3 linked regions of the Caenorhabditis elegans genome follow. The protein of the gene in region 3 interacts with the protein of the main gene of each other region in a pairwise test. Each region holds a gene or a part of one and is shown on either strand. Other genes may lie near its edges. The genes, in order: F17E9.5, emb-8 and magu-2.

Region 1 (10,943 bases), on a different chromosome or scaffold from region 3:
GCTGCAATTTCAATGATGCTTCAATTAGTTTCCGATATGATGCCCAAAGCCTCGCGTCTTCCATTACTAGGTAAATGAAGTCTAATTATTTTTATCCATCTATTATTTTAAATGTAGGCAACTATATTATTGCTGAAATTTTTGTGGTTACTGCAGCTACAATTGCTGCAATTGTTATTCAACATGTTCATCATCATGTTCACACAAATGCAACGTGCCCTCCAAAATGGTGAATATATGAATAATTAATTAATTATCTCTACTTTTTAATAGGTTACGATGTCTCGTACTATGTGATTGTATGAGGGAAGAATTCCCTTCTAAAACCAGTTCTGTATCCAGTATGGATGTTCCCGAGAACATCATTGCGCCTGTTTCTCTTCTGAAGTCGTCATTACATAAGGTAAACCACCATGATTTGAACATTAATTGATATATTTTAGACTGCGTTTCTTGTTCGTGACACTCTGCAAGAAATGTCTCGCATTAATGAAAATCAGTTGCTCTGGCTCAAAATTCTGGATAAAACTGATCTAATGTGTCTTATTCTGTTTCAAGTTGCCAATGTTGTAATAACAATTGTATATTGGAAATAAAAATCAAAAATAACTTTCAATAAATTTATATTTACCCGTTTAAAAAATTTGATCAATTCATAGGGATAGATAGTCCTAGTGGCAAAAATTGGGTACTTGTTTGACAGTAAATTAAAAAATATTTAAAACGTCTCTAAAGCACCCTCAAAACAAATGATCGGTTTTAGTGAAGAATAATTTATATTAACAACTTTCCTGCGCGAGAACATGGAATGTTTGGACTTTTTTAGAGTATTGTTTTCTGCGGGGTTGACAAATTTTCAAGAGTCCCTAGGCCTTCTACAGTGCCGGCCATAATTCTATCCAATTTTAGTTTTTTGACAATAACTTGTTTCAAAGTGATTCGTTTGAGTTGAAAATTCACTATAATATGAAAATGATCAAAACATAACTATTACTGCAAGAATTATAAAAAAAGCAAAATTTAAAAAAATTTCGGGGAATTTTCAAAAATTCGAAAAAGTGAAAATTATCTAAATTCTGAAAATAGGTTCTTTGTGAACTGGATCGGTTTTATCTGTCTACGAAACTGTCATTAAACTAGTAAATGAATCTTTGTGAATTTATTTTTGGCAATTAAAACTTAGGTGTCACGTGACAACAGACCATAAGCTTACCTGCAACTTGCAAGTGCTTGAAAATGGAAGAGTCTTTCTATTTTCAGTCATTGTGGCTATGAAATCAGTCTCATTCATTTTTAAATTAGGTTTTCTACATTGTTCAAGACTATTCTATTGATTTTGTATAATGTTTCTATCTATCTCGCTGGATATAAGCATCGCAGAGACACTCAGTGCTTACCAAGTATGTCAATTTTTGTCTTTGCCGCCTTGGTAAAGCTACCCTAACCCCCTTTTTTTCTAATGTGTGCAAAAAGTCAAGCAGTCAGAGTGAGGGATGGTAAAGCTATCGCACCTGCAGCAAACTAACTTCAAAATAAATTATGGTTTTATAAATTAGGGTAAATTAGGTTTTGGTTTTCTCAAATGTTTTTTTTCCGCAAACGTTATTGGATTTGGCCTATATATATTCTCCAGGCCAACTAGAAAGCATTCAGCTGGCTAAAAACACGCGGTTATCGGTATATTCATAATTGAACAAGGCTTCCCTCAAGTGACTAAAAAAGCTTGTTTAATTACATGAAACGGATGAACTAGAAATTCTTTAATTTCTTTTTCGATGACCGTGATGTTTTACTTTATTTCAAAAATAATTCCAAAAAACATCCAGAAACTTTTTTATAAAGGTTGTTTTTTCTCCGCTTCAACCTCGACCTTTCTTTATCTCCACGGTCAATCTGCCCTAGATCCGTCCGTATAAAAGATCGGAAAATGTGTAATTCAAATCAGTCTCTGCTCGAATCACCGATTCTCTACTCACTCGACTACTTCTCTGCAATGGATCAAATCCCACCGTACGAGTTCAATAAGTACGTGCTCTACGCTCGTGGTGCCGTCATCGTGTGTGCTTCATTTGAGGTTCGTTCTGTGCCGTTCGTGGTCCTCGGAGGACTGGTCCTGGTTTTTAAGGGCTGGCCTCTAAAGACTTGTCCTGGCTCTTGGTCTTTTGCCCGTTTTCCAGAATGTATAGAACATCATGAAATATTTGCAGCTCCTGATGGTTCTGTTCGGTTCCCTCGGCGATTGCAATTTCCTTGCCAAGCTATTCTACTTCATCTTCCTCGGTGGAGCAGTTGCCGTCTCATCGCACAACATTGCTCTCAACATTGATGGTCGCGAGGAGATCAACAAGGTTCTTACCTCGTCTGACAATGAAGTTCGTGGAAAGTCTGCCGCATTGGTTCTTGTCCCAGCTCTTGCTGGTATCTTCGTCTTCTTGTGTGTTTCTGGGCATGCATTCTTCTCACTTTTCGTGCTCATCCACGTGCTCGCCGCTGTTGGACAACTCGGAATTGAAGCTTATGAGTTCAAGAAGGGACAATCTGGAGCTCCAGCACAAGACCCAGCCGCCACTGCACCACCAGCCCAGGATCCAGTTGCAGCTCCACCAGCACAGTAGAAAGAATACTTGGGGGTTTTTGAAATAAAAGTTTTTACTTGCTCTTTTTGATCAGGAATGTAATCTGCAAATTCTGCTAGACTCGGTCGCCAAAAAACCTGGAAAAACTAAGTGCTCTTTTCTACTGTAGTTTCAGAAGAGTGAGCATCTTGTTGTAAGAGTAATATTTTGTTGTGGTTAGTCCGAAGAGAGGCTTCTGTGATTACTTAAAAACTATCGTAACTATCAACTTTTTGAGCAAATACTGGGTTATTGGAGTACTTTAGTATGATTGCTGTTCGTTTCGCTGGGTTATTTCAAGGATTCTCGCAAACTGGAATAATTCAAACACTTTCTAAATGCTCAATAATCTTTATTATTAGTTCCAACTCCAACAAGAGAAACATTCATTTTCTTCCCCATCCAAGTGGAGTCGGTGGACGATAGATGGTATGTCTTGCATTTGCAGATGGGATGAAATTGAATGAACTTGGCTGAGGAGCTCTTCTAGCTGGGTTGAACAGTGATGGTAGAATTTGATTAGTTGGAATGAATTGCTGTAAAGTATTATACGTTTCTTTTGCTTGAAAGTTTGAAATCAGCCTACCGCGGAAACCGAGAAAATGGCGAAAGCAAGGAAGATGCAGGCGGTGAACAGTTGCATTATGAGATGCGCTTTTTGGACTTCACCGAAAAATGGTAAATTTATATGAAAACATTTACGAGCTCCCTCCGATTGTAGTGTTCAAAAACATAACAGGTTTCATAAAATATTCTGACCCCTCCGACAATCGAGAAAACTCTAAACATTTTAACTACACCCCTTTGATTTTTTTGAGAAGAAATCAAATTTTGCAGTGGTTTTTTCGGAGGGACCTCATCAAACTGGGAATATAAAAGAACGCGTTTTGTGTAGTATCATTAGCAAAGTCTTTGAAAATGCAAATATTCAATGCCTATATCTTCCTTGTCTTCACAATTTGCTCAGTTTCTGCGGTAAGTTTTAAATGATCAAACTCAAATAATATTATATTATTCAATCAGCAATTCTATCCATGGTCAATGGCTTTTCAACCAGTTGATCACATTGAACCATCAATCTTCAATCCAATTCCACAAGCTCCAGAGCCAAATTTGTTCAATTTCATTCCATCTGCAGTTGCACAGCATACTATCTGTGCATACTATATATCAATCGTCCACCAACTCCACTTGGTTGGGGAAGAAAATAAATGTCTCTCTTGATGAAATATATAATAAACATATTCAAGCATTCAGAAAGTCTTTATTTTATTGCACACTCCCCCTAATGTAACAAGTTTAAACCGTTTTACAGTTGTTTTCATCCTATTACGACATTGTTAATACATTTTTTAACATTATAAACTGGAATTTCTGACATGTGTAGTGTTCGTAAGTGTAAGTGTTCAATAAGTAATCACAATTAAAAGTATCTACGAGCAAGATTTCAAAATTATCAAAAACTTTGAATATTATGTTTATATTTCTTGTACGTTCTTTCTAAACTCTGTGCCTATTGGTCGGCCCAAAACAAATCGTTAAAAAAACAGATGAACACTTGGATAATATAGTTTCAATTGCGAGTCCCTGATGAACCTGTGACTCAAAGTGAAGTTCCTCGCAATCTGCTGACACTCTGAAAAGGGTCGCGGGTCGATCCATGTTTACGCCTAACAAGTTAGAAAGCTACAATTTTTGCGAATCCCATCCAATCATGCAATCTCTGCCTTTGTTTTGTTTTGTTGTCAATGTTCTTGAAATGTGATTTTCTGAAATGTTGTGGAAATCATCATGTGAACGCATCATTTTATTTTCCAATCTCAGTCATCTTTTCCCCGTATAAAAGATTCTTCTAAAGTTTTGTTTCTACATCATATACAAAATGACGGGATTCTCAAGTGTATTCCTAAGCATTCTTTTTTGTATTTTCTTCCCATACGTTGTCTATTCGGCCAGTTCTACAAAATTCAATTTCTCTGGAACAATCACATGTAATGCCACCATGAAAGATTCATTTGTCGAGAAGCTGCAAGTATGGGAACATGATAAAGCGTTAGTTTGAATATAAATTTTTATGAAAATCTATTGAAAATATGTCAGAACACCAAATGATATGATAGGAGAGGTAGCACAATTTATTAAAGACAAATCTGGTTTCTTTTATAAAGTTGACGCAGAAGACAATGGGGATGGACTATTTGATGTAGGTATTGTTGTGATTCTAAAATTTTGCTGTGACTTATAGGAGGAGTAACGGTTGAGATGATTTGGAACGTAATTAATGGAATTTTAATTAATTTCAAAGTACCCACATGTTTTGTCTATGTGTTCAAAATACTCAGAACTGTTACATGTTCTTTAAAACCAATTTTAATTGTGTCGTTTCAGAATGATTATGAAATTTACTTCACTATCTATCACAATTGTACAGAAAAACGAACTGGAGATGATGTGACTGTTTATGTTAAGGATTTCCTTGTGATTGATGGGTAATTCTTGCTTGTTTTCAGTATTTTACAGAAGAACTACCGTTCCAGAGCCTACAATCACACAATGGATATCAATTTGAGTGACTTGACAAAACACTAAAGGAAAAACTAAATATGTGTTAATAGATTGACTGAAAATATTAGCATCTATGTTTAATAAAACAATTTTGTTACCCATATTTTCTACAATCAGCCAAATAACCTTTCGGCCATCATTCCGAAAACCTGAAATGCTCGGAAACTGTCCTTTCGACCGAAAACAGGCCAAGCAGATACTGTAGTAGAATATCAAGTAGTTGAAAAACGTTTGGAAGTTTGGAATACTTTCAATTTTATTAAATAAATATTAAAATTCGTTGCCTTTTACATTTCCTTTTTTTCGGATTTTCCTGTTTTCGGCCGAAAGGACATTTTCCGAGCATTTCAGGTTTTCGGGGCAAATACTCATTGACTCCAAAATCATTGACTACCTGTGCTCATTGCCTTCCTGTTCTCATTGCCTACTCTTTCTCATTGCCTACCCTTTGCTCATTGTCTACTCGTTTTCTTCATCAGTCAAGAGGCACGTACAAGGACCGTATTCCAAGAATACATCAAAGATACATCTACTCAATTTGTTCATTCATTCAAAGGGTATATATATTTACAATCTTTCAATCTGTACACAACATTTCGGGCAACAATTAATAGTAGATGTCATGTTTTAATTTATATTAATTTTGATAGGACACGCAAAGGCTGGGCAACATTCATTATCCATCAACATTAATAGCAACAATAGCAACAAAAAAACAATTAAAAATTTGAAATAAAAAGTCTGGAGTTGATAGTGGCTTTCGATCTAAAAATGAAATAACCTCCAAAACTCTCTAAACTGAGTATTTTCAAACTGGCGTATCTCAAAAAATACACATCTGGATAACAAACGTCCAACTAACAAAATGATCAGAAATATTTTTTCTTTCTAATTCAATAGTTTTTATTTCAATACACCAACTTTTTGTAGAGTTACACGGAGTCAAAGCCATTTTACCAATTTTCAAAAAAATTTTAAGAAGTCTTTTGTTGTACCCTTTATAACTCAACTTTCATTAATTTTCAGAAGATAAATTTTGTTGAATAGTGAGTGAAAAATATTTTTCCACATTTTACCAGTTTCAAGTTTTCGGATATTTTCATGTTTCGCCAAGTTACAGACCGTTTTTCAAAAAAAATCCAATTTCGCTTATAAAAATCTTCATATTCAACGTATCGACTTGAAATTTTGAGAAATGATCACTTTTTTGATGTCTCTACAATGTCCTAAAAAATCTTTCAAAAAACACTGTCCATCTCCAAAATCGTCCTTCGCTCCGAAAAATGAAATCGGACTTTTGCTTTTCGAGAAATGTGCGAAAAAATCAAAGTGGCTTAGTGGCTGTGGGTCGATCTAAAAATGAAATAACCTCCAAAACTCTCTAAACTGAGTATTTTCAAACTGGCGTATCTCAAAAAAAAACCAACTTTTTGTAGAGTTACACGGAGTCAAAGCCATTTTATCAAAATTCACAAAAAATTTTAAGAAGTCTTTTGTTGTACCCTTTATAACTCAACTTTTATTGAATTTCAGAAGATAAATTTTCTTGAATAGTGAGTGAAAAATAATTTTCCACATTTTACCTTATAAAAATCTTCATATTCAACGTATCGACTTGAAATTTTGAGAAATGATCACTTTTTTGATGTCTCTACAATGTCCTAAAAAATCTTTCAAAAAACACTGTCCATCTCCAAAATCGTCCTTCGCTCCGAAAAATGAAATCGGACTTTTGCTTTTCGAGAAATGTGCGAAAAAATCAAATTGCGATTTTTGGGTCGAAAAAAATATTTTTAGAAAGCTGAGACCACGCTATTTACGAATTTCATGTTTATTTTGAGTGATTTCTTCTCTTAAACGACCTAAAAACTAAACAAAAATAACATAATTTTTATTCTCACGTGTAATTATTTGGTAATTTGCTCAGTGTTTCAATTGTTTTAATGCAAATTTAAAAAATTTCACGTGAGAATAAAAATTATGTTATTTTTGTTTAACTTTTAGGTCGTTTAAGAGAAGAAATCACTCAAAATAAACATGAAAATAGCGTGTTCTAAGCTTTCTAAAAATATTTTTTTCGACCCAAAAATCGCAATTTGATTTTTTCGCACATTTCTCGAAAAGCAAAAGTCCGATTTCATTTTTCGGAGCGAAGGACGATTTTGGAGATGGACAGTGTTTTTTGAAAGATTTTTTAGGACATTGTAGAGACATCAAAAAAGTGATCATTTCTCAAAATTTCAAGTCGATACGTTGAATATGAAGATTTTTATAAGCGAAATTGGATTTTTTTTGAAAAACGGTCTGTAACTTGGCGAAACATGAAAATATCCGAAAACTTGAAACTGGTAAAATGTGGAAAAATATTTTTCACTCACTATTCAACAAAATTTATCTTCTGAAAATTAATGAAAGTTGAGTTATAAAGGGTACAACAAAAGACTTCTTAAAATTTTTTTGAAAATTGGTAAAATGGCTTTGACTCCGTGTAACTCTACAAAAAGTTGGTGTATTGAAATAAAAACTATTGAATTAGAAAGAAAAAATATTTCTGATCATTTTGTTAGTTGGACGTTTGTTATCCAGATGTGTATTTTTTGAGATACGCCAGTTTGAAAATACTCAGTTTAGAGAGTTTTGGAGGTTATTTCATTTTTAGATCGAAAGCCACTATCAACTCCAGACTTTTTATTTCAAATTTTTAATTGTTTTTTTGTTGCTATTGTTGCTATTAATGTTGATGGATAATGAATGTTGCCCAGCCTTTGCGTGTCCTATCAAAATTAATATAAATTAAAACATGACATCTACTATTAATTGTTGCCCGAAATGTTGTGTACAGATTGAAAGATTGTAAATATATATATACCCTTTGAATGAATGAACAAATTGAGTAGATGTATCTTTGATGTATTCTTGGAATACGGTCCTTGTACGTGCCTCTTGACTGATGAAGAAAACGAGTAGACAATGAGCAAAGGGTAGGCAATGAGAAAGAGTAGGCAATGAGAAAAGGTAGTCAACGAGCAACAAGTAGGCAATGAGAACAGGAAGGCAATGAGAACAGGTAGTCAATGATTTTGGAGTCAATGAGTATTTGCCGGTTTTCGGATTGATGGCCTCTCTGATTTGACTATGGGGATCTTCTAGGTCAAAGATTGATCATTAAAAATCGCTCCGCGTTGGAAATCATCTTGATTCGATTTGTGCTTCAATTTTTTCTATAAAACCTGAGATAATTTCCAATTTTCCTTCATTCATCATCAAAATGGTTCGAATTTTTTCCACTTCATTCTGTATTCTCTTTCTCATACTTTTCCCGGTTGCTAATTCAGTTCTAACTAAATTCCGATTCAATGGATCTTTCACGTGCTCCCACAAGGTGGCTCCGTTTGTTCAGAAAGTACAAGTTTTCGAACATGACTATCTGTAAGGTAACTAAACAATTTCAACAAATGCTTATAGTAACCATTTTAGAACGTTTAGTGATAAATTAGGAGAGTTTAACGTCTTCCGAACGGTTGCTCCAAATTGTATGAAATATCAATTTAATTTTGAAGAAGACGGTGATGGAAAACCGGATGTAGGTTTTTAAAAATAGTTACTACAGTACATCCGATTTACAGGATGGATTCTATGAAATTTATATGAAGATTTGGAACACTTGTATGATTCCTACAAAATTCAATTCCAAGAAAATTTCATCTTACTGGTTCAAAACGAAACTACCAGTCATTGATGGGTATACAATTTTATTTTCATTTAGTAATCATAAAATCGGATGAATTTCAGAATAATCTATGCCACCGAGAACGTCAATTTGGATAAATTTTCGATTAATTGAACTACGGTTTCTAAAAATAAATAAACGTTTTGAAGTCAAATATACAAATTATACAATACAAGACAGTGAAAATACTAGTCACCAGCCTATACTTCTATTTTATACTGCAGACAGGGACATGTAAAGCGCTGGGGATCCGTTCACGAGAATTCGAGAAGTCTCCTACTATTTAGGCCTGTGGAAAACTGTCCTGAAAAAATATGCATGCCCTCATACCTTACCGAATCTTATCTTACCAAAAAAATATCGTGGTTGTCATCTGAAGCATAACGGGAAAAAGAAAGACCTGTTTAATGTCAAGTACATTCTTTACAAGTTTCAGAAAAGTCCCATTAAAAATTGTGTTGGAAATAGTCATTGGATACAAAAAATGACTACATATAATTTCGTACATTTCAGTTCAAAATCGGAAAATCATTGGACAATTGTAACAATACAATTTTTTTCCAAACAATACTCTAAAAAATATACCTGACATTGCTCTCTTCCATGATTCCAGTCACTCCTAAACTTTTCCTCACGAGGAATTGAACATGCGTAATAAATTTGCCTCATATTTTTGTTGAAAATTGACTCCTTGCTAAAGCTAGCTGATAGATAGATGTGACAATGCATCAAAAATTACACCGCCCACGTTGGAGCCATCCTTATTCGATTTGTGCGCCGATTTTTTTTCTACATAAACTTACATAATTTGATATTTTCTTCTATTGATATTTGAAATGCTGACAATATTTAGAGGCTTCCTGTGTATTCTCTTTTTCATACTCTTCCCAGTCGCTGAATCAGTTCTCACCAAGTTCCATTTCAATGGATCTTTCACGTGCTCCAAGAAAGTTGCTCCATTTGTTCAGAAAGTGGACATTTTCGAACATGACCTGATGTAAGTTAACTAAAACTTTCCAACAAATGCTTATAATAACCATTTTTAGCACGTTCAATGATAAATTAGGAGAGTTTCGAACGGATTCCTTCCAAACGGTTGCTCCAAATAGTATGAACTACCAATTTCTTTTTGAAGATGACGGAGATGGATCATCGGATGTAAGTTCTCTGGAATAGTCGTTACGATATGTATGTACAACAAAATTATAGGATGGATTTTATGAAATCTTCATGTGCATTTGGAACACCTGTATGATTCCTACATGATTTGTTCACAACAGAGTTTCGAAATACGTTTTCAAAACAAAACTGCCAGTCATTGATGGGTATATTTTTACAAAGTAATCATAGAACAGTCTGAATTTCAGAACACTCTATGCCACGGAGGACGTCGATTTGGATAACATTTGAATAATTGAATTATAACTTTTAAATATAAATTGTTATGTTGAAGTGAAACACATATTAGAATAGTTTAAATATTTCATTCAATTTCGAAAATCCTAGTCACCAATCTTTACAAAAACCTATGGATTACCATAAGGTGATGTGATCGCTACGTGTACCTGAAAGAAACCAAGAAAAATGTGCTCTATTCTATATATTCTTTCATTCAAGCTTCAGAAAAGTTCGATTAGAATATTGTCTTGGAAATAGTTCTTGGTTGCAAAAATAAATGTTTCTGTAATTTCGCAAATTTCAGTTGGAAATCAAGAAATCGGCAAAATTCGAGAGAAATTTCAAGTATGTTCTATCAAGTAATAATCTGCTCGTTTTTGTGGCTCGAGTCATGTCTGAAATTAATCGCGTTAAAAAAGTGTACATGCTTACTAAACTCACCACGTGACCATGTAAAACAATGCACCATGACAGTGGGCGACACGTGGGATGTAGGCCTTCCACGAAGGTATCCTCATCGTCTTTTGCTTCGACGACGCTTTCGAAAAGTTTCACAATTCTGAAAAATCAAAACAAAACCGTCTCCTCCACGTTGAAACCATCCTAATTCGATTTGTGCTGTGATTTTTTCTACA
Region 2 (11,386 bases), on a different chromosome or scaffold from region 3:
GTAAATTTTAATTTCAGAATAGACTATAATGTTGAACAGACCTCGATTCGTGTGTCGAAAGCAGTTGAAGATGTCTTCAAAGCGGAACGATATCAAAAAGGAAACAAAAAAATGCATTGTATTTGTATGCTCACTGTTGCCATTATTTTTGTACTGATTCTTATTATTGTTACTAAATTGTAATTCTTTTACTTCAGTAGTTTTATTTATATTTTTTGAATAAACCGGGTATTTTATTGATTTCTCTAGTTCAATCAATGAAATTCTAATTTTAGATTCCGGTTAGATTCCGTAATGCAGATATTTCCTTGTTTTATTCAAATTTAAAATTCTTCCACTACTTAATCTGTAATTAAAAATGTTCTCTATATAAAACTCGTGCACATCACTCTAGAGCAGGGATTCATTATGTTGCCGCATTTTCACTCGGATCATGTTACTCTTCGAATTCCTCTGATAATTTAGTCATTTTCTTCCGTCTAAATTCGTTTAAAATCAACTGATTAACGCCAAAGCCAATTTTTCTTTCTCTTTCCGCCAAAAGCCTTGAAATTGACTACCGTAACACTTGTCGCTTCGAGACCCAGGCCGCATTTCGGACCGCCCGCAGCACGCGTCGCGGAGCTTTTGGGCGAGATATTTCGAAAAATGTTGTTGTTGTGTTTTCCTTTCACGATTTTTTTCTTTTGGGCGCAAATAATGGCTTTTTAATACCGGATATATGCTGCATTGGCCTAAAGTGTTTCGAATGGCCCACAAAATTCCATTTGTCCTCTGTTCGGGCCTCTATTTTTCAATGTCTTTAACCTTTTCTCAAGTTTACCTTTTTCTCCGTCGATCACCCTTTTCTTCAAGGACTATTATCCAAAAATGATTGATTTAAATATATTTCAGCATTTACGAAAATAATGATGCCCAATGACACTAATGGGGATGACTACAAAAAGCTGGAAAAAGCTTCAGTGAACCTCAACTTCCTGAAAAGCAACAGGTAAATTTTAATCTTTCTAAAACACATTCAAAATCAATACCCATAAAAATTTCAGTCACACCCACATTGGTCCCTTGTCGGCAATAGCAGAGCTAGTGGATAATGCGTATGACGCAGATGCGAGAGATCTTCACATCGATTTTCGTAAGTTTTGAATTGTTAATTTCAGTAGAGAGAAAATGTTTATATTTACAGTGGACATCAATAATGAACAGTTTCTTGAACTTCGTGATGATGGACTGGGCATGGCTCGCGAAGAGGCACTTCACGCCATCACGTTTGGACACTCAGCAAAATGTTCTTACAAAATCGGCCGATATGGCAACGGACTCAAATCTGGAGCATTTCATTTGGGACGTGAACTGTTACTGGTAACGAAGAAAGACGGAATTATAACAGCTCTCCTCATTTCTCATCGCTTCCATGAAGACCAAGGACTGACGAATTCGGTGTTTGTGCCGTGCCCTTCTTTCGACTTGGATGGTATTCCAATTTGTCAAACCGAAAGCGAAAAAGATCGTTTCAATCTTGAAATGAAGATTATCGGTAAATATGCTCCACTTGGATCCAGAACTCTTGCTGAATTGGCCGATAAAATCACTGGAAGTACGGGAACGATCATCATCATTGGCAATCTGAGAAGAAGTGTGACTGGAGAACTGGCAATCAACACGACGAAGGATCCGACTGACATTATTGTCGATTCAGGCGAGGAAAACAAGCCTTGGCGCGAGTCTCTTCGAAAATATTTGGAGTTCATTTATCTCAAGCCTAGAATGAGGGTAAGTAAAATTCTCTCTCGTTATCTCAGCTTTTTACGAAAATTGTAACATTTAATTCTGAAAATCTATTTTCAGATTCATGTCCGCGGAGAACAAGTTCTGCCGAAAAGGATTTCTGAAAACTGGATTGCGAAGAAGCAACAACTAATTAGTGGTGATCAGTTCACAGCCGCCTACAACAAGATTCTTGATGAAAAGAATGAGACAGTCAAGAAATGTGAGTCATTGACACCCAAAGAATATAACTGTAATTTGTTTCAGGCGAAGAAGAGAAGGCTTTGGTGATGTCGGAAATTGGTGGCACGAATTACACGTCTGTCCGAAGGGAGGATCGCGCCAATCAGAAAAGTTTGCGGCTTCGTGTTGACACCAGTCAGAAGAATTTGGATTCGGCCATTGCCGATCGAGATGCATTCAAGAAAGAAGGAAAGAGTGAAAAATCATTCCATCTCAACATGGGAATTGAAACCAAGGACAGATCGAACAATGGTATCCACTTCTACATCAACAATCGATTGATTTTATGGGGAAACAAGGAAGCCAAGTTCTTTAGTAAATTCGCGAACAGCATCGGTATTTCAATGTTCCTGAGTCTGGATTATTCGTTGTTCAGTGCGGCACAAAACAAACAAGGCTTCGATCATGTGAAGGATTTCCAAGTGCTCGTTAGAAAGTGCAACGATGCTCTACGCGACTATTCCATGTATTTGGAGAAGAGTTGGATTCCAACACATCTGAAAAATACCTGGAACGTGAGAATTTACGAGGGCGATGACGTTTGGGCGGTGCTATGGGGCGTTTATGGATACAATAATACCACCTCAACGACATGTGTTCAAACTCACGACAGCGCGAGGGATCAGGTGATGTGGACGACGTGTGGGATTTGGAAGCTGTGTCGTGAGTTTTTTCGTTTTATAATTAAACTAATTTACTGTTTTTTTTTAGAAATGTGCCGAACCTGGATCAAAGCATCTCGTCCGAATGAAATAGTCGGCTCGAATGATGATTTCTTCTGCTGCGAAAACGTAAACCATCATGGTTGTCGCACCATTGTCGCCGAAGATAACGACTTCAGTAAACTACCGGAAAAATATGATCATATCCTACCACAGAAACGGTTGACTAATTCAGCACCATCATCGTCCGACTCTCAAAATTCTATTCGCTCGGCATCATCCTGTTCTTCTTCGTCTCGTCTATTGAACGTCGCGAAGATAGAAAGTCACGAAAGAATTCATTCATCCACTGGTGGTCACAGATTGGGAGAATCATTCTCAACAACATCTGTCAAGATGGAACCCATTCCAAACAATGCGCATGACAGTCATATCGCAGAAGTCCAACGCAGGCACAGTACTGGAAGAGCAATCTCACCCGCAGTTTCCGAAATTTCTCGTAGAGCTGGAACTGCGCCAAGTTCACAATTGGATATGATTATGGGAGAAGAATCGGATGAGTCGCAAGAGGCACTGACGATCAGAGCACCGCGCCAACGTGCTAAAAGACCAATTGAAAGAGTTTCGAGAAGAAATAGAAGAGATCAATCAGATGATGACTCAGACTCTGAGAACGAAGAAAGATACGCTACTGCGCCAAAAAAGTCAAAAGTCAAAGGAAAGGCTGTTGTGAGAGCACCTGTGAGTTTTTTCAAATATTTGCATCACAAAATCTGTGTATATTTTTCAGAAAATGACTCGGGAGAAATGGCTAGAAGAAATGCTCAACCAGTTTCTGACCGCTCATGGAGAACAACCTCTTCCAAAGAACGGTCAACGAGACTTTGACCCGACGAACATTGTGGAGCAAACCTCACGACGAAACTTCAAAAACAATCAGAGAATCGTAGACGCACAGCAAGCTATTATGCGTCAGATTGGATCAGTTCTTGATCATCTCAAGAGGAACCCGACACATAATTTCAAGATTGTAAGCTTTATTTATCTTTTTTTTATCGTTGAAACTTTTGAAATTTCAGCCTGCTTCTGGAACTGTCGAGGAGAAACTGAAAAATATTGAGCACCAAATCAAAGGAAAGAAAAAATAATATTCCAGCTCGCCCTGTTTTCCCAGAAGGACGTACTTGTACAATTATAGCATGTTCATTTATAATCTTTTCAGAGATTTTTAGCTTTCTCTTTTTTCATTATCGTTTTTACCTCATTTATTTATTATCGTTCCCGACCTCATTTATTTATTATCGTTCCCGACCTCATTTCCCGACCCCATTTATTTATTATCGTTCTTCTAATTCTCTTTTCAATTATGGGTTACTTTTTTTTTTTTGTCTCTTCAGTAAGAACGTATGAATGTTTTTTTTTGTAAGAATATGAATTTTTTTCAATCGAGTTGTTTTTTCTGCAAAGAAATATATCCATCTATGTATTTCAATTCGAACTTCCAGTAGTCAAATTAAGGCTGAAACACCAATTTTCAGAAATTACAGTGAAGAATCTGTTGATCTTCTATTTTTACTTCCGTATGATCAAAACATACTGTTATCTTTGTTGCCTCCATCACTTTGAAAATATTTGTATTTTTTCTCTACGTGTTTGTAAGCATAAACCACAAGCAGAACACAGTCATTTTGATCCGTGGTTTGTAGTTTAGTTCTCTTTTTTAACTTTTAGAATTTTCTAGACGATGATCACAAATTTAATTCAAAATTAATCATTTTCGGTTGAATGTTTCTAGTTCGATGTTTTAATCCGATTTTCACCAACAAAATCTTGTACAAGTTCAAAAAATCGTATAAAAACCCGATTTTTCTTTTCACATGCATAATATTCATGGAAATAGACCGAATTTATCTTTTCTTCAAATCATTCGACTTATTTTCCGATACCGATCTTTTGAGAATCGGGGAAGACTCTTCGAGAACAACGCCGAATTTCGAGTATTTTGCACGATCTTCTTGCAAATTTGATACATAAATTAGACATTTTTGTTCTATTCCACGTCTTGAATCTTCAAAAAGTTTTTGTTCAAATAGAAATTTCGGTTTCCCCCAACAAAACTCGCCATAATTGTTTTCCACATTTCTATCGGTTTCAAAAACTACACGTACAAAAATGGCTAGAACATAGACCACACTTTGAGATCAAGTGTAGCCAATAGAGGTAGTTGTTCACGAGAAAAACAATTATAGATAACACATGAACTGAAGAGAGATAGGTAGAGAAACAGAACGAGAAGAGAGAGAGAGACAAGAAAGAGAAAGAAGAAAAGAACAAGCGATTTTTGTGGGCTGTTACTCCCTCTCAATTGTTTCCTCTCTCTCTCTCTCTATCTCTATCATAGTCGTATTAGGGGAACTTCGTGTATAGTTAATGTGACTGTTAAGGCTTGAATTGCTTAAAAGAAAGATTTCATTTGTAGTTGATTTATTCTAGACGATCTCTCTCTCTCTCTCTCTCTGTTTCTTCTTTTCGATGTTCAATTTGACCTACTTTTATTAATGGATATTCGTTTTCTTCTCTTTCCACGATTTATAGATGTTTCCCCTGAACTTCGTCTCTTTAAATTTATTTGTTTCGATCAAAATTGTTTTGCTTCATTATACCCTAAATGCCCTTAAAATCCAAATTTCACGAAACTTTTCAAAGAATTCTCAAAAGTTTCATGGCTGTTCAAAAGTTTCGAAAAAAAAACCTGATTTCAGCAATAATTTCCAGTTTTCCCAACTTTTCCGTGTCGCAGCGGTCGCAAATTATTACTTAAATATTCGGTTATTTTCATATTTATTTTGCAATTTTTTGTCATTCATCTCGTGACATTTCATAGATTTTTTTCACATATACAGAAATTCACAAAAAAAATTTTTTCGAAACTTTTGGGACTATTTCGAGTATAATATAACAAATTATCCAAATGTCGCTTCTCCATTTATCAAAAAAAAACCCTCCCGATAATTTCGTTAATGAGGACGCTATAATGTTTTCGATATTCTTTCTCTGACATCAAACATAGAAAAAATAAAACCCCGAGATATCCTTCTTGATAATATAAAGGGTACACTGTAGCCAGGTCACCTGCAATCACAGCCTATTCTTTGAGATGGAAACCTAGGCAACCAACTCTATGCTCTACAATCATGCTCTGAGATGTTTTTTTTAAATCAAACATTTTTCGATTTTCTTCAGACTTCCGCATAACCTTTTGATTTCCAATTAAAAGTGGCACCTGTTGCCTTTCTTATTCTCTTCCTTGTATTAAAACCGGAAAAAATGAAATCCTCCACGTCTTCAATGTGTGTGTTGTCTGCGCCCCTATGTACGTCGACTTCGATGACTGACCGTTCATTGTATCGGGCCTAATTCAATTTTTAACTCAAGTGTGACGATATATTTTGATTGAAAACTACGTGCAAACAATTATGATTTTCCATTTGAACTTCAAATTTTGTAGAAAACGCATTTTCGTTTGATAAAACCGTACTTTGCGTGTGGTTTTCGTACACAACATCCAATTTTGTCAAAATGTGATAAAAGTGACATAAACTACAGAAAATGCTTGACGGTGTAATCAGTCCATATCTATTTGACTTATCAACTTAAAAACAAAATTCGCAATTTCTTTTCTTCTCTAATTCTCAATTCAATTCTTATCAATGATTAAACCTAACCAGACAATCTTTGAATTTCAACAGTTATTCACCAGTCATTTATTTCATCGCATGACTTGAATTGACGTTTAATTCAAATTAGGAAATTATTTTTGACTGAAACAATCGTTTGGCGACTAATTATTTCTGAAAGTCTTGTAATAGTGGAAATAACCAATTTTATTTTATTTCTATTACAAAAGTTGACTCTCTTTTGTGACCAAGTAATATTTAATTTTCAGAAATATTGCTCCCGGTCTCGACACAACAAATTTTGTAAAATGTAGAAAGTCGTGCTCCTTGAAAGAGTACTGTATCTTCAAATTTTCATTGTTGCGGAATTTCCCACAATTTTTCGAAGTTTTTCGATAAAAAATAGATATATTTATTTTAAAAACTCAAATTTCAACATAGCGAGATGAAAATTATGAAAATTCAACAACAACTAAAATTTGAAATTACAGTACTCCTTAACGGCGCACGTGTTTTCATATTTAACAAACATTCGTCGTGTCGAGACCTTGGGTACTGTATTTGTGCCGTAAAATTACTTGGGTTATATCAGATATTGTGCCGCAGTTTTTTTTTGTTTCAATTTTTCCTGACTCCTTGTTTTAGTTTTGTTTAAGCATTTTCCTACTGTACTTGCAAAATGTCTGAAATTTTTTAAGATTACATAGTTTTTAGAAGTTTTGTTTTCAGAAGATAATTTTGGCTAAACAGTACTCTAGTCTACGTGTCAATACAAAGTCTGACAAATTTTGTGTTCTCGAAGTATCTTTCTTCGACCACCAAATCATATTTTATGTGTGTCGATCACAAACCTCAAAAAATGATGCAAACTCTCTGACTATCTGCTTCTATAAAATACTCACCTTCTTGGCAAATACAACTTTCTTTTCACTAATAACTTTTCCTCACGGCGTATCTTTGTTTATTTCAATATACCTCCCTCCCTTAATTCGATTTTTCTTCTGTAGCTTTTGTTTTTTCTTCTTTTTCTTTAACTGTAAGACCAAATTAAGGGGACAGACAGAACAATATGTCTAATGTTCCCATTCATTCACACAAATTGACTGTACATTTTTTTTTGAAAAAAGACTCACTGAATTTGCTATACGATAATCGTATCTCAAATTAAGTTTTTAGTTGAAATTGTTTTTGTAAAAAATTATTTATTACAGTTATATGATAGAAATTCAGATATTTCTCAAAATACATATATTTTAGTGCGACAAACTTGTGGTTTTTGCGCCAAAAACACTGGACCCAGTCTCAACACGCCAAATTTTTGATAAATACAAAAAGGTGTGCACCTTCAAAGTGTACTGTAGTTTCGAACTAACGTTTCTGCGCCATTTCAATCAATTTTTCAGAGTTTTCCTCTGTTTTCGTTTGATTCGGGATTTTTCTAAGTACCTGAAATCACCTGAAAACAGAAAAAAAACACATTTTTGTTTAAAAACTATTTATTTATTGAAAAAATAAAGAAATGCATGAAAACAATAAAAATCACATAAAATTAAACTTAAAAAACTATGGAAAATCAATTAAAATTCAACATTAACGAAAGTTTGAAATTACAGTACTTTTTAAAGGCGCACGCGCATTTAACAAAAACTTGTCATTTTCTCGGCGCAAACATCGCAAAATTCAGCGGCAATATTTTAAAACATGTTTAAACTATAACTTCTTATTTATTTACTTTTTCAATATCTCCCTCTTCCTTTTCAAATAATTCTTTAATTTCAGAAACTCTCATTCTAAACATGCTGGCGTGGATTGTGTCGGGTCTCGACACATCAGACCTTGTGGTGCTCACTCTGCTCGCTGGTGGAGCAATTATATTCCTTTTCATGAAGGTTTTCAATCAGCAACCATCGTCTAGCAGGTACTTTAAAAATAAATGCAGAAAATTATTTTTTTTACATTTGAAATTAAAATTTCAGATACTCGCCAACCGTAGCATCGGTCACCACGTCAGCTGCGGCTTCGAAATCGAATCAATCATTCATTGATCGAATGAAAAATGAGAACCGACAGGTAAATTGATATGGAATTTTAAAGAAAATAGAATCAAAATTCTCTAATTTCAGGTGCTTATCATGTACGGATCTCAAACTGGAACAGCTGAAGAAATGTCTGGACGTCTTGCTAAAGATCTTACTCGTTACACCAAGAAGGCTGTTGTCGTTGATCCAGAAGATATTGAATGTGAAGATTTGAATCGTTTGAGTGAAGTTGAGGATGCTCTTTTGGTACTATGCATTGCCACATATGGAGAAGGAGATCCAACTGATAATGCAGTGACACTTGTTGAATATTTGAATGCTGGAGACTGTGATCTGTCGGGTGTTCGATTTGCAGTTTTTGGACTTGGAAATAAGACTTATGAACATTTTAATGAGATTGGAATTCAAATGGACAAACAACTTGAAAAACTTGGAGCCAAGAGAATCTTTCATTTGGGATTAGGAGATGATGATGCTAATCTTGAAGAAGATTTTATGATTTGGAGAGAAGCTTTCTTGCCAAAAGTTGCTGAAGAATTTGGATGGGAGTTGAACACAGAGGCCGAGACAATGAGACAATATCAATTGGAACCAGTTGAAGAAGGAAAAGCTCTTTTCAAGGGAGAATTTGGACGACTTGGAGCTTATGAACGTCCACGTCCACCATTTGATGTCAAAAATCCATATTTGGCTACTGTTGCGATCAATGATGAACTTCATACCGAACATTCTGATCGTAGTTGTAGACATATTGAGTTCTCTGTTGAAGGATCCCGTATTCGTTATGAAGCAGGAGATCATCTGGCTGTCTTCCCAACAAATGATCCAGTTCTTGTTGATCGTCTCATTAATATGCTTCAATTCGATCCTGATCACGCATTCCGTCTTGTGAACGTTGATGAAGATGCATCAAAACGTCATCCATTCCCATGCCCAACCACATTCCGAACTGCTCTTTCTCATTATGTTGATATTTGTGCTCCAGTCAAATCTCATGTGCTCAAAGCAATCAGTGAATATTGTACGGATGATACTGAAAAGGAATTCCTTAATAAGTTATCAACTGCCAATGAGGAGGGCTTGGTGAGTTTTTTTAAATTTTAATTTTGAAGTAATTGAATTTTTTTCAGAAAGAGTACGCCAGATACATTGTCAAAGAGCGTCGTTCAATTGTCGATGTATTGACTGATCAAAAGACATGTAAACCACCAATTGAGTATCTTCTTGAACTTCTTCCACGTCTTCAAGCCCGTTACTACAGTATTGCTTCATCTCCGAGATTAAATGAGGAAAAGATTGCAATTTGTGCAGTTGTCACTAAATATTCTATTGGTGATCGTGATATCAATGGAGTTTGTACAAGATATTTGACCACCAAGGTAAATTTTTTTGCACATGATAGAAAATGAACCGTAATGATCGAATATAACTTTTTCAAATTTTTTCATAATTTTATCAATTTTGCAAATAAGAAAAATAGCTATTTTCGAATTCCCTAGCAAATGAATCACCCTGTTTTGGCATTTTTGCATTTTCTGGCTAATTTCAATTTAAAGCACAGTTTGTAAAATTTTCAGACATTTTTTCGCAAAAAAATCTTAAATGTATACAAGTTTACTTTAAGAAAAATGTCATAACCGGACGATGCATTTGCGCGGGAATTCAAAAATAATTATCTCTTTTTTCAATTTGCAAAATTGAAAAACCATTTCAAAAAAATTTAGAAAAATTTATTACATTTTTAAACAGTTATATTTGGCCATCACGGTTCATTTTTGTATTTTTTAAAACAAAATTTCAAAAAACTCTCACTGTACTCTCACTCAAAAAACTCTCACTATCACACTTTCTTTTTCCAAAAAAAAATCCAAATAATTTCAGGACGCCGGATCGAAATCTCCAGTTTTCGTTCGTAAATCAACAATGCGTCTTCCCCACCGTACCACAACTCAAGTCATTATGATTGGTCCCGGAACAGGATTCGCTCCATTCCGTGGATTCCTCCAAGATCGTCAATTCCACAAAAATGCCGGAAAGGAAATCGGAGCAATGCATTTGTATTATGGATGCCGTCATCCAGATCATGATTACATCTACAAAGATGAGTTGGCAAAGTTCCAAGAAGACGAAGTGCTCACACACTTGGTTTGCGCTTTCTCCAGAGCTCAGGAACATAAGGTAGGATACCGTGTTTCATTGACTTTTAAATAAGATATTTTTAGATCTACGTGCAAGATCGCTTGTGGGAGACTCGTGATCGTATCTGGGATGCTATTAACGTTGGAGCTCACGTCTACATTTGTGGAGACGCCCGCAACATGGCTCGTGACGTTCAGGCAACACTTCAGAAGATTTTCAGAGAAATCGGAGGAAAATCTGAAACGGAAGCTGTCGCCTACTTCAAAGATATGGAGAAGACAAAAAGATACCAAGCTGATGTGTGGTCATAATTTTCAAATTTCATTTTTGTTCAGTTTTTTTAAAATTTTTCAGTAATTTTTCTGTGATTTAGACAAAATATTGCATTTCCCCCTTTTCCCATTTTTCTGTGATAACCTCCCACCCAATCGCCCAGCTCTTTTCAACCCAAAACAGAGAAAAAAAATCATTCGAAATTCGGGTATAAACTTCGCCTCTCTTCCCTATTTTGCACCCTTTGTCGCCCACTAACCCACTTTTCTAGTTTTTTTTTGTCAAATATATCACAAATTTTCATTGAAATAAACAGAGTCTACAAGAATTATCACAATAAGATTATCCACCAGACAATGGAGGAATTACAGCGATTTCTGTGAAGCGAACCAATTCGAAACGATCTCCGGGGTTGGCATATCTGTAAACGACATATTATAAAGACGCAGAGATGTGCGACGGCCAAAAGTTGGGTCTCGTTAGGTATTGGCAACGACACTTCCGAAAGCTTTCTTTAAAAACAACGCGAAACATAACAAAAATGATGAAAAGCTATTGAAAACATTTCAATTAACAGTTTTGCTGC
Region 3 (11,386 bases):
ACCGCGTGTCAAGTAATGCATACTTGCAACCATTTCTGTGGTGGAATTCGAAACGAAGAAGAATGTCTTCCGTGTATGACCTGTAAACGAGAAGATGCAGCTCAAGATGGAGACGATGTTTGTGTAATTTGTTTCACTGAAAGACTTGGAGCAGCACCATGTATTCGCCTCGGATGTGGTCATATGTTCCATTTCCATTGTGTTCGAATGATTTTGGAAAGAAGATGGAATGGTCCAAGAATTGTTTTCCGTTTTATGCAGTGTCCATTGTGCATTCAACCTATTGAACATTCTGGATTACAAGATCTTATCGAACCATTGAAAACAATTCGACAAGAAGTTGTAGATAAAGCAAAAATGCGTTTGGAATATGATGGTCTCCTTACAACTCCAGCTCTAACTGATCCAAGATCCGAGTTTTACAATCAACCAGAGGAATATGCTCTTGATAGATATATGTATGTCTTGTGTCACAAGTGTAAGAAAGCCTACTTTGGTGGAGAAAGTCGTTGTCAAGCCGTGAGTTTTTTCCCAGAACTAATTTTTGAAAATATTGTTCCAATTTCAGGCATTAGATAGCTCGCAGTTCAATCCTGAAGAATTACTATGTGGTGGTTGTTCAGATACAAGCGGAGTTCAAGTCTGCCCAAGACATGGAGTCGAATATCTGGAGTACAAATGCCGATTCTGTTGCTCTATTGCTGTTTATTTCTGGTGAGATAACGAACTTTATTCAAAAAATAAATTAATAGAAAAAATGATTTCACAAATCTGTAAATTAAACATTTCAGTTTTGGTACAACTCATTTCTGCGCACCTTGCCATGATGACTTCCAGCGTTTAATGTCTCTTCCAAAACATCTTCTTCCAACATGTCCAGTTGGCCCTCGATCAACACCAATGGAAGAACAAACATGCCCCCTGAAGATGAAGCATCCTCCAACTGGTGATGAATTTGCAATGGGTTGTGGAATTTGTAGAAATATTAGTACTTTTTGATTCATAATTTTATTTTTAAATCTATCCGGTAAAGCCTCTTATAGCAGTCAGTCTTTCTGAATTGTATCAAATGTTCAAATAGAAATTATTCCCTATTGCCTCTGTTCAGTACAAATTGATCTCTCTGTCTTACCATTTCCAAAAATTTATTTTTTAAAAATTGACCACGGGTTGCTTTTAGTGTTGTTTTGATTTCTATAAAGAAAATTATATTTTTATTGATACTTACACATTAAATAGATCTATTGAATAAATTTCTTTAAACAAATAGTACTCCTTGTGATCACTGGCCAGACGCGGCTATTATAGATTCAACCCACACAGTAATTGTGCTCTTCTTTTCAAAAACAAATCGAATTAGCTAACAACTCACGAGGGAAAAAGAAAAGATGGAGTTTCTCGCTGTTTCCCATTATTTGTGGCGATAATCACATTGAAACAAAAACGTTGGACCTTCAAAGCATCTGAAGAGAGGAGGAGAATGAGTTATCTGGGAATGTACACTCAATTGATCATCTAGATTTACACTAAATTCATTTAAAAAAAGCAATAAAGAAATTGTAAAAATTGCTTGGTCATTTTTATTACATAGTCTATATTTTAGTATTACAATGAATTTAGTGCAATTTTTAAATTCCAAACTTTTTGACTGAAAATTATGTATTTACTTTGAATCTAGAATATTTTGGGAAAAAACACATAAATTGCAGTTCCTATTAGTGTTGCACCCTGCTATAGCAGCTTTTATCTCTATTTTAAGTGTTTCAACAACTATACGTAAAGATATAATAAAGGTTTTGATAATAATTTAACTTGTTTTGCAAGAAAGCAAGAAAATCAAAAACTGACTAATAGAACAATAAGGGTTGTAAGACTATTCAAAACACGGAGTAAATAAGGTTTATAATAATAATAATTTAATGACTATCCTAAAAAATGTTCTAAAATTTTTAGAGTGAAAACAATTTTTTTTGTTAATCCTATTTGTTTAATCATGAATCTAATTAAAAAAAACGCTAGGTTGAAGGTAAAAGAAAACATATATCAAACTGTTCATTCAAGCTTTTGACAATAAAATCATATTATGAACGAAACTCTTCGAAACTTTCTCGCGTAGTTACAAACTCCGTCGACGCAATAAACTTTTCTGAATCCATTTGAAAACTGCTCACAATCCAAAAGTGTCTCACACTGAGCTTTTCTGTTCCTTTTACGGCAAGCATCCACTGGAACAGTGAAAAGCGAAAATAGAACAATAGAGAGTAGAAGAAGATTGAATTGGAACCGCATATTGAATACAAATGGAGGTGTATCTGTGTTTTATGTGGGCGGAAATGTGGAAAAAACTAAAAAAAAACTTATGATTATAATTGAATTACGGTTCGAGAAGCAATACTGTTATGGGAACGGAAATCGAATTGAGGCAAATCGTTGCAAAGTGTATAGTTTTCCATTTGTTTCAAAGTTGTGTCATGTGATTACGGTAAAAATAATTTATGGAACCTAAGAATTTGAAAACAGAATCTACTGGAATTATTTTATTGTTGGAGGTTTACCCGAAGAGATTCTCCACAAATTTTGCTCTTTAACACAAATTGTTTTAAAAGTTGACTCTTTTTCAATTTTTCAAATCATGTAAAAACGTTTGAGGAAAAAACAAACCAATTGATCCTTTTTTGCTTCTATTCACAAACATTCAAAAGTCGTCTTTATTTTGTTTGTTATTGCGTGCCATTTCTCCACCAAATGTCCGTTTTTCTTTGCAAACGCCGTTCCAACAACTCTTTTCCAAATCCGTCAACTTTATAACCAGCTGGCAACTCTTTGAGCACTATTTTCCTTTTTTTTTGAATGAAAGTGTGAGTACGCACACGGGGCCTCTCATCAGCTGCTTTTCGTTTTCTAAAACCACTCGTTTGGGACTTCTAGGAACCCCTTCAATTCCCTTCTTTTTGGTTCTTTTCTCCAAATTTCTTCGCTCATTTTTGAAAGTGTTTGGAATCAGAAAAATAGAAGTGTGGAGATCTCTAAAGCCATACTTCTAAAAACCAAAAAGCCGGAAATTGGAAACGTTTCTCACGGCGACGTTGATGAACGAGTGAAGAAAAGTGAGAAAGGGAGATGGTTGGTTCCACAGAAAAGGAGATCATATCTATCTAGATTTGTTCTCGAATGCCAGTTAAACACGCTTTGACGGCGGAGGAAAGTTATTTGAAGGTCTCGTTGACTTTACTTTTCTTAATTTAATCTAATCTATGCAATTTCTCTAGGATAACTGCCAAAAATAATTTTCATGTGAATATTTCATTTATGTAAAAACACTTTTGTTTGAGTTTGACTTTCTTATTGCTATTTTGACTTCCTGTAAAACTTGCTGAATATAAAATTGCAGCAGGTTGACTATAAATTTTGATACTGTAAAAAAGTTTTCTTCCATTGACTCATATACATTCTATGAACGTTATTATTTTCAAACATAAAATCCTTACAATCTCAAAGTATTTTCCACACAAAATTTTAAACCAAAAGTATTTCAAGAGAAATACAAGAAATTCGGTAAGTTTTTAAAAGTGTCGCTAGTTCTCTAGAGATTGAACAAAATGCGTACGGTTCAAAATTTTTTCAAAATTGATTAAGCGAATTAGTTTTCCTATTTAGTTTAAATGGTTATATTTTGAAATTTTAATATGTTTTAGAATTTCAAAAAACTGTTTGCATAATTTCCGCATAAAATCATAGTTTCTCGACAAACGTTTTGTGAAGATTATCAACGATGGACGTTTATGTTTTTCACAATATCTTCTCACAACTTATTCTCAAAATCCATATTTGTTTTTTGCATTCTATACAAAATAAAATATGCCCATCAAACTCGAAACTAGCCTAAAAATGACTGAGATCCGAGAGGCGGGTGAAAAAAGTTTTTTTTTTTTAAGTTACGAACTTTAACCATAATAGTAGTGTTATTTGTCTTGGTTTTTTTTCAAAGCTACGAGAGTCACAATAGAAGATCGGCGTAATTTGTCTCAGAGAAAATTACAAGACGACATGTTGAAGATAGATGAGCTGATCAATGAAATCAGCACTAATCAGCTGGCTATTCTCTATCTTATAGCTTGTTCTTTCTATGCGGCCTGCGTCTCTTCAAATCCCTGCGGGTCGAATGTCACAATTCACCATCTCCTTTTCTCTTTCTTGCTCCATGTGCTTCTTTCTGTCCCCAGACTGGACCTTCTTGTGCTCTCCCACCCACACCGCCATCTTCCTTTCTCTCTTTGCCCCATCCTCGACTATCTGTATCTTCTTCGTTCTCACTTTTTATACTCGAGACTCTGTGGAAAAAGACACAGAAGACACACCAATGGCGTCAAAAATCTTTTTTTTTAGTTTCCCTCTGCCGGACACGATGCACATAGTTTCGGTGCGATTCTCTCAAGAGGATCCCCCATAATTATTTGTCACTCTAAATCTCAAGCTCTCTCATCCAGTTTTCATTCCCAATCTATCCATCTCCCTGTCACACTGAACTAGTGGAATGAATGTCAATATCATCAATCTGGACCACTGTTTTCATCTGTCTCGTTCAATTTTTTATCCCCGGGAAAAGCTATTATTTAGTGCTTCATTCCGTGTGTCTTGAGCTCATGGATACTTTGAAGACCTCATCTTTTTTGATTGAACAAACGTGACAAGACAATTTTATGAATTCTTAGAGAGTGTGTGTAATTTTAATTGCTTGCAGCATGCTTGACAGCTGCACTTACTGTTTTCCTTGAAATACGCAAACTTTCACTGATATGCCTAATTTTAGAAGTGTATTTTTGAAATTCAAAGGAAAAACTTAAAATTTACTTTCAAAATCTTTAAAGTAGCTGTTTTTATCAATCTAGAAAATGTCACTACAGATAAAAATATTGTATTGATATGTGGAGTCTTTTAATTGTGCTTTTCGTGAGTCAATAATTAAGATTGCATTTTTAATTTGGCAACAATTTAGAAATTTGTTATCTGGCAAATATGTTCTATGATACCGTAACTTTCTCAGATAACTTTAAGATTATTTTTTTGTCCATAACCTCTGTTCTCAACTTTAAGACATACAGTACCCCTTATACACAGCTCCCTTTTTTTGTTATTTTGAATTTTCTCTTCAACTATTCCCATTTTTGTCGGTCTTTTTCCAATTTACCCCAAAAAGTCCATCTCATCAAAAGCGCTTCAAGTCTTTTAGTTCTTATCCCCCATTCCTCTTTAAGCTCTTGAAACACAAAAAACAATTGCAGAAGAAAAGAAAAAAAGCAATTAACTAAGAAAGTGCACTCATCACAACTCTTCTTCTCGGTTCTTTTTCTGTCTCAATTATTCACGCAACAACGCTTACATGAAGTAGCAGTTTTTCGAGTGATTCTGACATTTCTATTCATTTGTTTCAAGTTTATGATTATTTTTAGATCCAAGTTTTGAGCAGATCCCGGAATCCTAGCATTCATCATTCAAAATGAAAACCACGAGATTTCAAAACAACTTTTTTCATTTCACCTACTCATAAATTCCATTCCGATTCAGTTATTGCTTTATTTTCAGAAATTTGGATTCTCATTTTCTTATTTTCGCTTTCGTTGGAAATAATATTCCCAAAAAATTTTCAGCCTTCATCTAGTGGCTCGAGTATCAAATGTCCAAGTCGGTGTCGATACCACAGGCACTGTCCGACTTGAAAAGGACATCCTTGAGACGGTTGAGCAGTGCACGTGGTGTTGGAAATAAGAAGACCGTTGTGAGCACTTCGACGCCGTTGAGTGGTTTTGTAATTTTGGTTGAACGAGAAGAGAAGGTTGTTCGGCTGTACGGTAAGTAAAAGATAATTTTATTTGACTAATTTATAAAAACATTTTGAAGTATTTTTATTGAAATAATTTGCAATTTTGATGAATTTTTACTGAAATTTTGTCAACGAACATTTGTACTAATGCGATTCTCCAAATCGTTGATGGCATCGGCAAAGTGGGCGTTTTTTTAACCTATATCGCAATTTTTTTCGCTTTTTTCAAGGTGTCTGGAAATCAGATATAAAGTGCTTTACAAATTTTATGCAGACTTCTGAAAAAATAATCGATTTCCATTACAGGAACTGCTGCGGAAAGAGCAGGATTGAGCATTGGAGATGAAATCGTTGGGGTAAATGACATGAAAATAGAAGGAAAAAGTTATGAGGAAGTCACAACTTATATTCAAGAAGTTTGATAAAATTTATGATACTTTCTTGCAAAATTTCAAATTTCAGTGTATTCGTCGAAAAATCATTCAGCTGAAAGTTAGACGTCGTGCATTAGAAATTCCAGCAGAAAATGAAGCTTCTGTTTTTAACTGTGAGTAAAAAAAAGTTTATACTTTTTCCTTTTTAATACTTAGTTTTTGTTTAATTTCAGGCACAAATTCGAATCGTATGATAACGGATGCATATCTAGTTTCCGTGGATAAGGATCATATCAAGGAAGTTACTAAACGGCTGAAAAAGTGAGTAATCTTTTTTTGAGAGAGATTTTCTTCTCTGCGATACTATCTGTGAGAAGCGGAACGTGTAAAGAACGGAAAGAAGAGTTCTTAAGTGCTCTCTATTTATGGTATATGCATAAACAGTGAATATATGACAAATAGTGCAAATACCACTAAGATTTGGTTTTTGGCAAATCAATGTTCTTGAAAAGTTCTCATATTTATTTCATTTCACTTAAAAAATTCATCTCTCTTCATTTTCTTTAAAATCTTTGTTGTTCACTCGTCGACCTGCTTTCTAGAAATTAATTAATGGCCTCGAAACTTTCTGACGGGCAGGGAAACACAAAAACACTGAGATTATGAATGTGAGCTAATTTGGAATTCTCGTTCGTCCAGTCTTCACAACTATATAGGTCACATTCTAGTATTTCACACAGTTAGTCGGCACGTCTAGTATGTCACAAACCAATAATCTGTCAAGGTGAAGACAAAAAATGGAGAAAAAAAAAGAGAAAAAACGGAGAGTTCCGTCGTCAAATATATCAATAAATCTAGTGATTAATCAGTCAACCTGGCGATTCTTTTTTATGTCTCCCTGATATTCTATTTCACAGTCAGTGGCATTTTCAAGTAATAGAACCTCCCATTGCGCTTATCACACTCATTCTCTCTTTCTCATTCCTTTTTTCTTATTCTTTCATCAACTTTTTAAATGTTTCTGTCTCATTACACTATTTATCAAAAAACTATCATCACTCAAATTCTGTGTTCTCTTCGTTTCGAAGGTTGTCTGACTTGTGATAATTGCAGGTTGTTAGGGTTTCAGAACGTTACAGTTCTTTATTACAATTTACTACGCTTTTGAGATTTTTTGTATGTTCACAGTTAGCTAAACTCTTGCCTAGCTTTGGAATAACATGTTACTTTCAATTTATTGATTCTTGTATGTTTTGAAAAGCAATGACTTTTAGCACCCTTTTAGCACGACTGAAACTATCAGAAAAAGATTTTATACAGCTGCAGCTAAAATTTCAACACACTTTTTCAAAGGAAATGTTCTGCAAAACTTTAATTCAATCGTCAAAAATTGAATAAGGAGCAACGACTGCCGTTCTCTCAAATTACAAAGAGTCACAGAATTTTATTTTCGGGGGAATACCTTTCCAAAAATGGGTGAAAGGTCATAACGAATACATCAAACTCCAACACATTAGACACACATTGTTATTTATTGACATAAACCATTTATTGCTTTCCATTCGTCTCCTCACTTTTCCTTGTCGACAATTGTCAATTGCACCGTTCTTTCCAAACCCAAAAATTTAACAAATAATTATTGAATCCGTTTACACTTTCTTTTTTTCCATTCAACCCTAACCGTTCCTCTTTTTGTCATCATTGTGCAAATTTCATGCATCATAAATTTTTGAGGACGGTACGGTTTTTGTGTAGTTGTGGATCGGTTAACTGTTTGGTGATGGACACAGTTATCGCGACTTTAACAAAATTTTGCTTTTATATTTGTTATCAAGTGGCAAATTATTTTAAGTTATCATTATCAGTGGAGCAGAAGATATTTTATTACTTTTCTAATGTTTCGAAAATTTCAAGGAGTATAGGAATAATTTGCAATTTTTGGAAATATATTGGGTTCGAATTCTAGAAATTAGTCTGTATAATTTAAATATTGTTGATTCAAAAATTATTTTTTCAGCTACTATATGTAATATTCATTTTTAGAACCTTTCATTTTCTTAGTGTTTTGCTACTTTCCCGATATGTCTCATCATTGCTTAAAAATATTTATACATCATAGCCACCACCTTCTAAATCGTGGTTTTCATAAATATGTATTTGTATACATCTTTTCCCCAATAGGAAGGGATGCGCAAACGGGACCTCAAATGTAAAGCTGGTGATGAGCAAACATAAAAGTAGAAGAAGCGCGCACGAAAGATGATGAAGATGCAATACGGACTGTGTGTGAACAACTACAATACCGTCTATTGTTTCGACCCTCACTCACTCTCACCTTCCTCTTTTCCCTCAACCTGCACCACTTTGTATACAATTGTCATGAAGAGAGTCAGGCTGAATGGGGAATTATTCTAGGACTAGATTTGGTTGATGTTGGGTGACCAGCATGGTTTTCCACATTTTCATCTTCATAATGATTTTTGGAAGAGAAAATCAAAACCAACATTATGATCGAATGTTCTTCAAATTGTTTTGGTAACACCTCTTACCACACTTCGTAATAATAATAAGTACGTGTCAAGTTGTTTAGTCACAAAACCGAGTATGTCAATTTTTCAATCCAAACTGCAAACATTCAGTTTTGATTTTTTACAAAGTCTGGGTTCTCCTCAAATTTTACTTTTAAACTTTTTGATTTTCAAAAAATTGAAACTCAACTACATTTTTTTTTTTCTTATTAGACCACTCTTTTGAAAATGAATTGAGCCTCTAATTAGATTCACTCCATAAGTGGAATGCATTCAATAAATATAACTTGGGATTTAACAATTTATATTTCGTTTGGTTTAAAATACGTCAGCTCTTGTTGGAAAAATGAGACTTTACTTTTTTGTATTTTATTCCAATAAACATGTTAGTGAGAAGCACTCCGATACAAAAACTAATTTATTGATCTCTTTTGAAATCTGAGAACATTCGAACTTTAGCGAACGGGAAAAATGGTGTGGAGCAAATATTTAGGTTTTGGATTTTTTGTTGTTTTTTAGATGTCAGATTATATAATAGCTTTTGGTATCTTTTACATATATTTGCAACTTGCTGTTCAATTTAAAAACAGATCGTTGGGACATTATATTTAAATATACACCCGTACTAATATCAAACTATAGATTTTTTAGACTGAAGTTTGAGAAAATATCTAACGTATTCTTAATTAGAACCTATGTAGTCATATATCCTCTGTCATACCTCATTAATAATCCGCATCCTTTACCTCACCTATCCACAGAGTATATAACCTTGTCTAATTAGACTCCCCAATCCCCTTTTCCCGCTCTTTGCCTGCCATATCGTGAAACGCCCTGATTGTCAGGATAATTGGCATACATATATGCACGGGCACTCTTTTTCTCTACCTCCTCTTCACCTTTATTGACAATACAATGTGCAAAAAGGTCACAATACCGAGGTATAATACTCTCTTTTTGACAGTCGATGTATTTATTTCATTTTCACATTTTCACCAAAAATATTGAAAATAACCAGTTGGATAGAAAAGAGATACATACAAAATAGAGAAAATACACACATAATCCCATCTCTTTTCATTTTCCCTTATTCTTTCGTTTTTTACTTCCGTTGGTGGGTTTCGTGGTGGTGGGTGCGTTTTTTTTTCCGTGCCTTTCCACCCATCGTTCCATCCCATCATTCCACCGACCCATCATTCCGACACGAACACATCATCATTCATTGTTATTGTCATCCTTTTCATATATACCTGGACCTATTCCCCCATCAAATATAGATCAAATCCATCATCTCTGCCCGACAAAGCTTGTACCAAAAAAGGAGAAAAAGCAGGTGTCGTCAATAGGCTTCACGCTTCCGGACCGGCAGGTGTTCGGGTTTGAGACTGAACAACTGAAGAAACAACGTTCACATTAGCCCCCGACCCAAACCGATTGAGATGCTTATCGGTCAAAACTAGCCGAGTGTGGGTGAGAGAGAGAAGGTTTAACGGTGGTCTCCTTTGATTTCCCGACAACTAAACTCCCAATGATGATGATGAGAGAACGGTCTTTTTGATGGTTTTATGAAACCTCATAAAATTCATATCATTCTGGGAAAAGGTCAGTTCACTAAAAGTGGGAGCATAGGTGAAAGTTTCGTATTAGAAAAATTTTATAAAAAGTTACCTGCATATTCTTTTTGGCGCTCAAAATTTGCAGCTAGAAATTAACTATGCCCTGGTGTCGATTTTTCAATAACCGAATGCCTTTTTCAATAACAGTCCTAGAAATACTTCACTTTATTTGAATTATTGACTCATACGCCCAATCATCCGCACAATATTTTTTCACCTTTTGTTTGAAATATGGAAAAAAACCATAACTTATAAGTAACCCTTTTGAAAATATTTGACACGTATTCGTTTGTTTGTTGCCATTTTTCGATTTCTTTTGATGTCATTGTAAGCATTTGCCAGTTGACTTTCATATGTCTGCCTCTCTTATACATTAAAACCCCAATTTATATTCAATTAATTAGTTGGCACGGAGTGGTTGCTCTGGCGTGACAATACATACGTCACCATTGTTTAAATTTCTGATTATTTTTGCAAGATCAAGAAATTTTAGAAAGATGTGTTTTTAATAAACCCAGAAATACACTTATTTCTAAGTTTCGAGGTTATGCAAATACTGATAGTTCTGAATCATCTGTTATTCCATATTTCCATGTTTCTATTTCTTATCGCATATTTCACATCCTCCTACGCATGTTATCAACTCTAGTGATTGTGAGTTTTGTTGCATTCACACTCTTCGTTTCAAAGGTGTTTTGCTGTTGTCGTACCGTTGCCCAATGAATCATAATTATTGCTAGTACTAATTCAAAATCGTTTTGCAGAGAATACCCCGAAATTCACACATATGACATGGAGTACATTGCTGCAACATCTGGACCACCATCAGTTGCTCCACGGGGTTCAGTTCACACAAATGGATTTGGGATCGAAAGAGGATCTCTCCGTCGTCCACCTGAACAATTTGAAATGCAAGAAAAGAAAAGGAAAGAACAAGAAAATACATTTTTGAGAAGTTCATTGCGAAAATCCAAGAAGCTTCAAGCTCTGGCACGAAATGTAGATCCACTTACTAGTGAGTTGATTTTTGATAAATTGCCTTTGAGT

What was found.
Region 1: the proteins of magu-2 (region 3) and F17E9.5 interact in a two-hybrid assay, tested with the Caenorhabditis elegans proteins (one large-scale study listed by BioGRID).
Region 2: the proteins of magu-2 (region 3) and emb-8 interact in a two-hybrid assay, tested with the Caenorhabditis elegans proteins (one large-scale study listed by BioGRID).

What each region holds. Positions count from the first base shown.
Region 1 is NC_003282.8:8,343,890-8,354,832, forward strand, and holds F17E9.5 (DUF7087 domain-containing protein), read left to right. Parts: upstream 1-1,928; 5' UTR 1,929-1,993; coding exon 1,994-2,074; intron 2,075-2,207; coding exon 2,208-2,615; 3' UTR 2,616-2,657; downstream 2,658-10,943. Other genes in the region: lgc-5 (Neurotransmitter-gated ion-channel ligand-binding domain-containing protein), read left to right, coding at 1-70, 118-229, 274-403, 444-596; F17E9.18 (Neuropeptide-Like Protein), read right to left, coding at 3,002-3,151, 3,202-3,258; F17E9.15 (uncharacterized protein), read left to right, coding at 3,534-3,590, 3,639-3,839; F17E9.4 (TransThyretin-Related family domain), read left to right, coding at 4,498-4,667, 4,716-4,818, 5,004-5,104, 5,153-5,204; F17E9.16 (TransThyretin-Related family domain), read left to right, coding at 8,449-8,609, 8,658-8,763, 8,807-8,922, 8,973-9,024.
Region 2 is NC_003281.10:5,196,420-5,207,805, reverse strand, and holds emb-8 (NADPH--cytochrome P450 reductase), read left to right. Parts: upstream 1-8,128; 5' UTR 8,129-8,145; coding exon 8,146-8,267; intron 8,268-8,325; coding exon 8,326-8,419; intron 8,420-8,472; coding exon 8,473-9,471; intron 9,472-9,518; coding exon 9,519-9,767; intron 9,768-10,269; coding exon 10,270-10,566; intron 10,567-10,610; coding exon 10,611-10,838; 3' UTR 10,839-11,126; downstream 11,127-11,386. Other genes in the region: syx-16 (t-SNARE coiled-coil homology domain-containing protein), read left to right, coding at 18-183; ATPase morc-1, read left to right, coding at 912-991, 1,047-1,135, 1,187-1,773, 1,849-1,990, 2,035-2,673, 2,722-3,413, 3,463-3,702, 3,752-3,820; moc-6 (Molybdopterin synthase sulfur carrier subunit), read right to left, coding at 11,143-11,221.
Region 3 is NC_003283.11:8,795,285-8,806,670, reverse strand, and holds the start of magu-2 (MAGUK p55 subfamily member 5), read left to right. Parts: upstream 1-5,642; 5' UTR 5,643-5,674; coding exon 5,675-5,849; intron 5,850-6,127; coding exon 6,128-6,237; intron 6,238-6,283; coding exon 6,284-6,368; intron 6,369-6,428; coding exon 6,429-6,516; intron 6,517-9,742; exon of another isoform or gene 9,743-10,041; intron 10,042-10,113; exon of another isoform or gene 10,114-10,303; intron 10,304-11,103; coding exon 11,104-11,354; intron 11,355-11,386. Other genes in the region: E3 ubiquitin-protein ligase rpm-1, read left to right, coding at 1-519, 569-714, 792-999.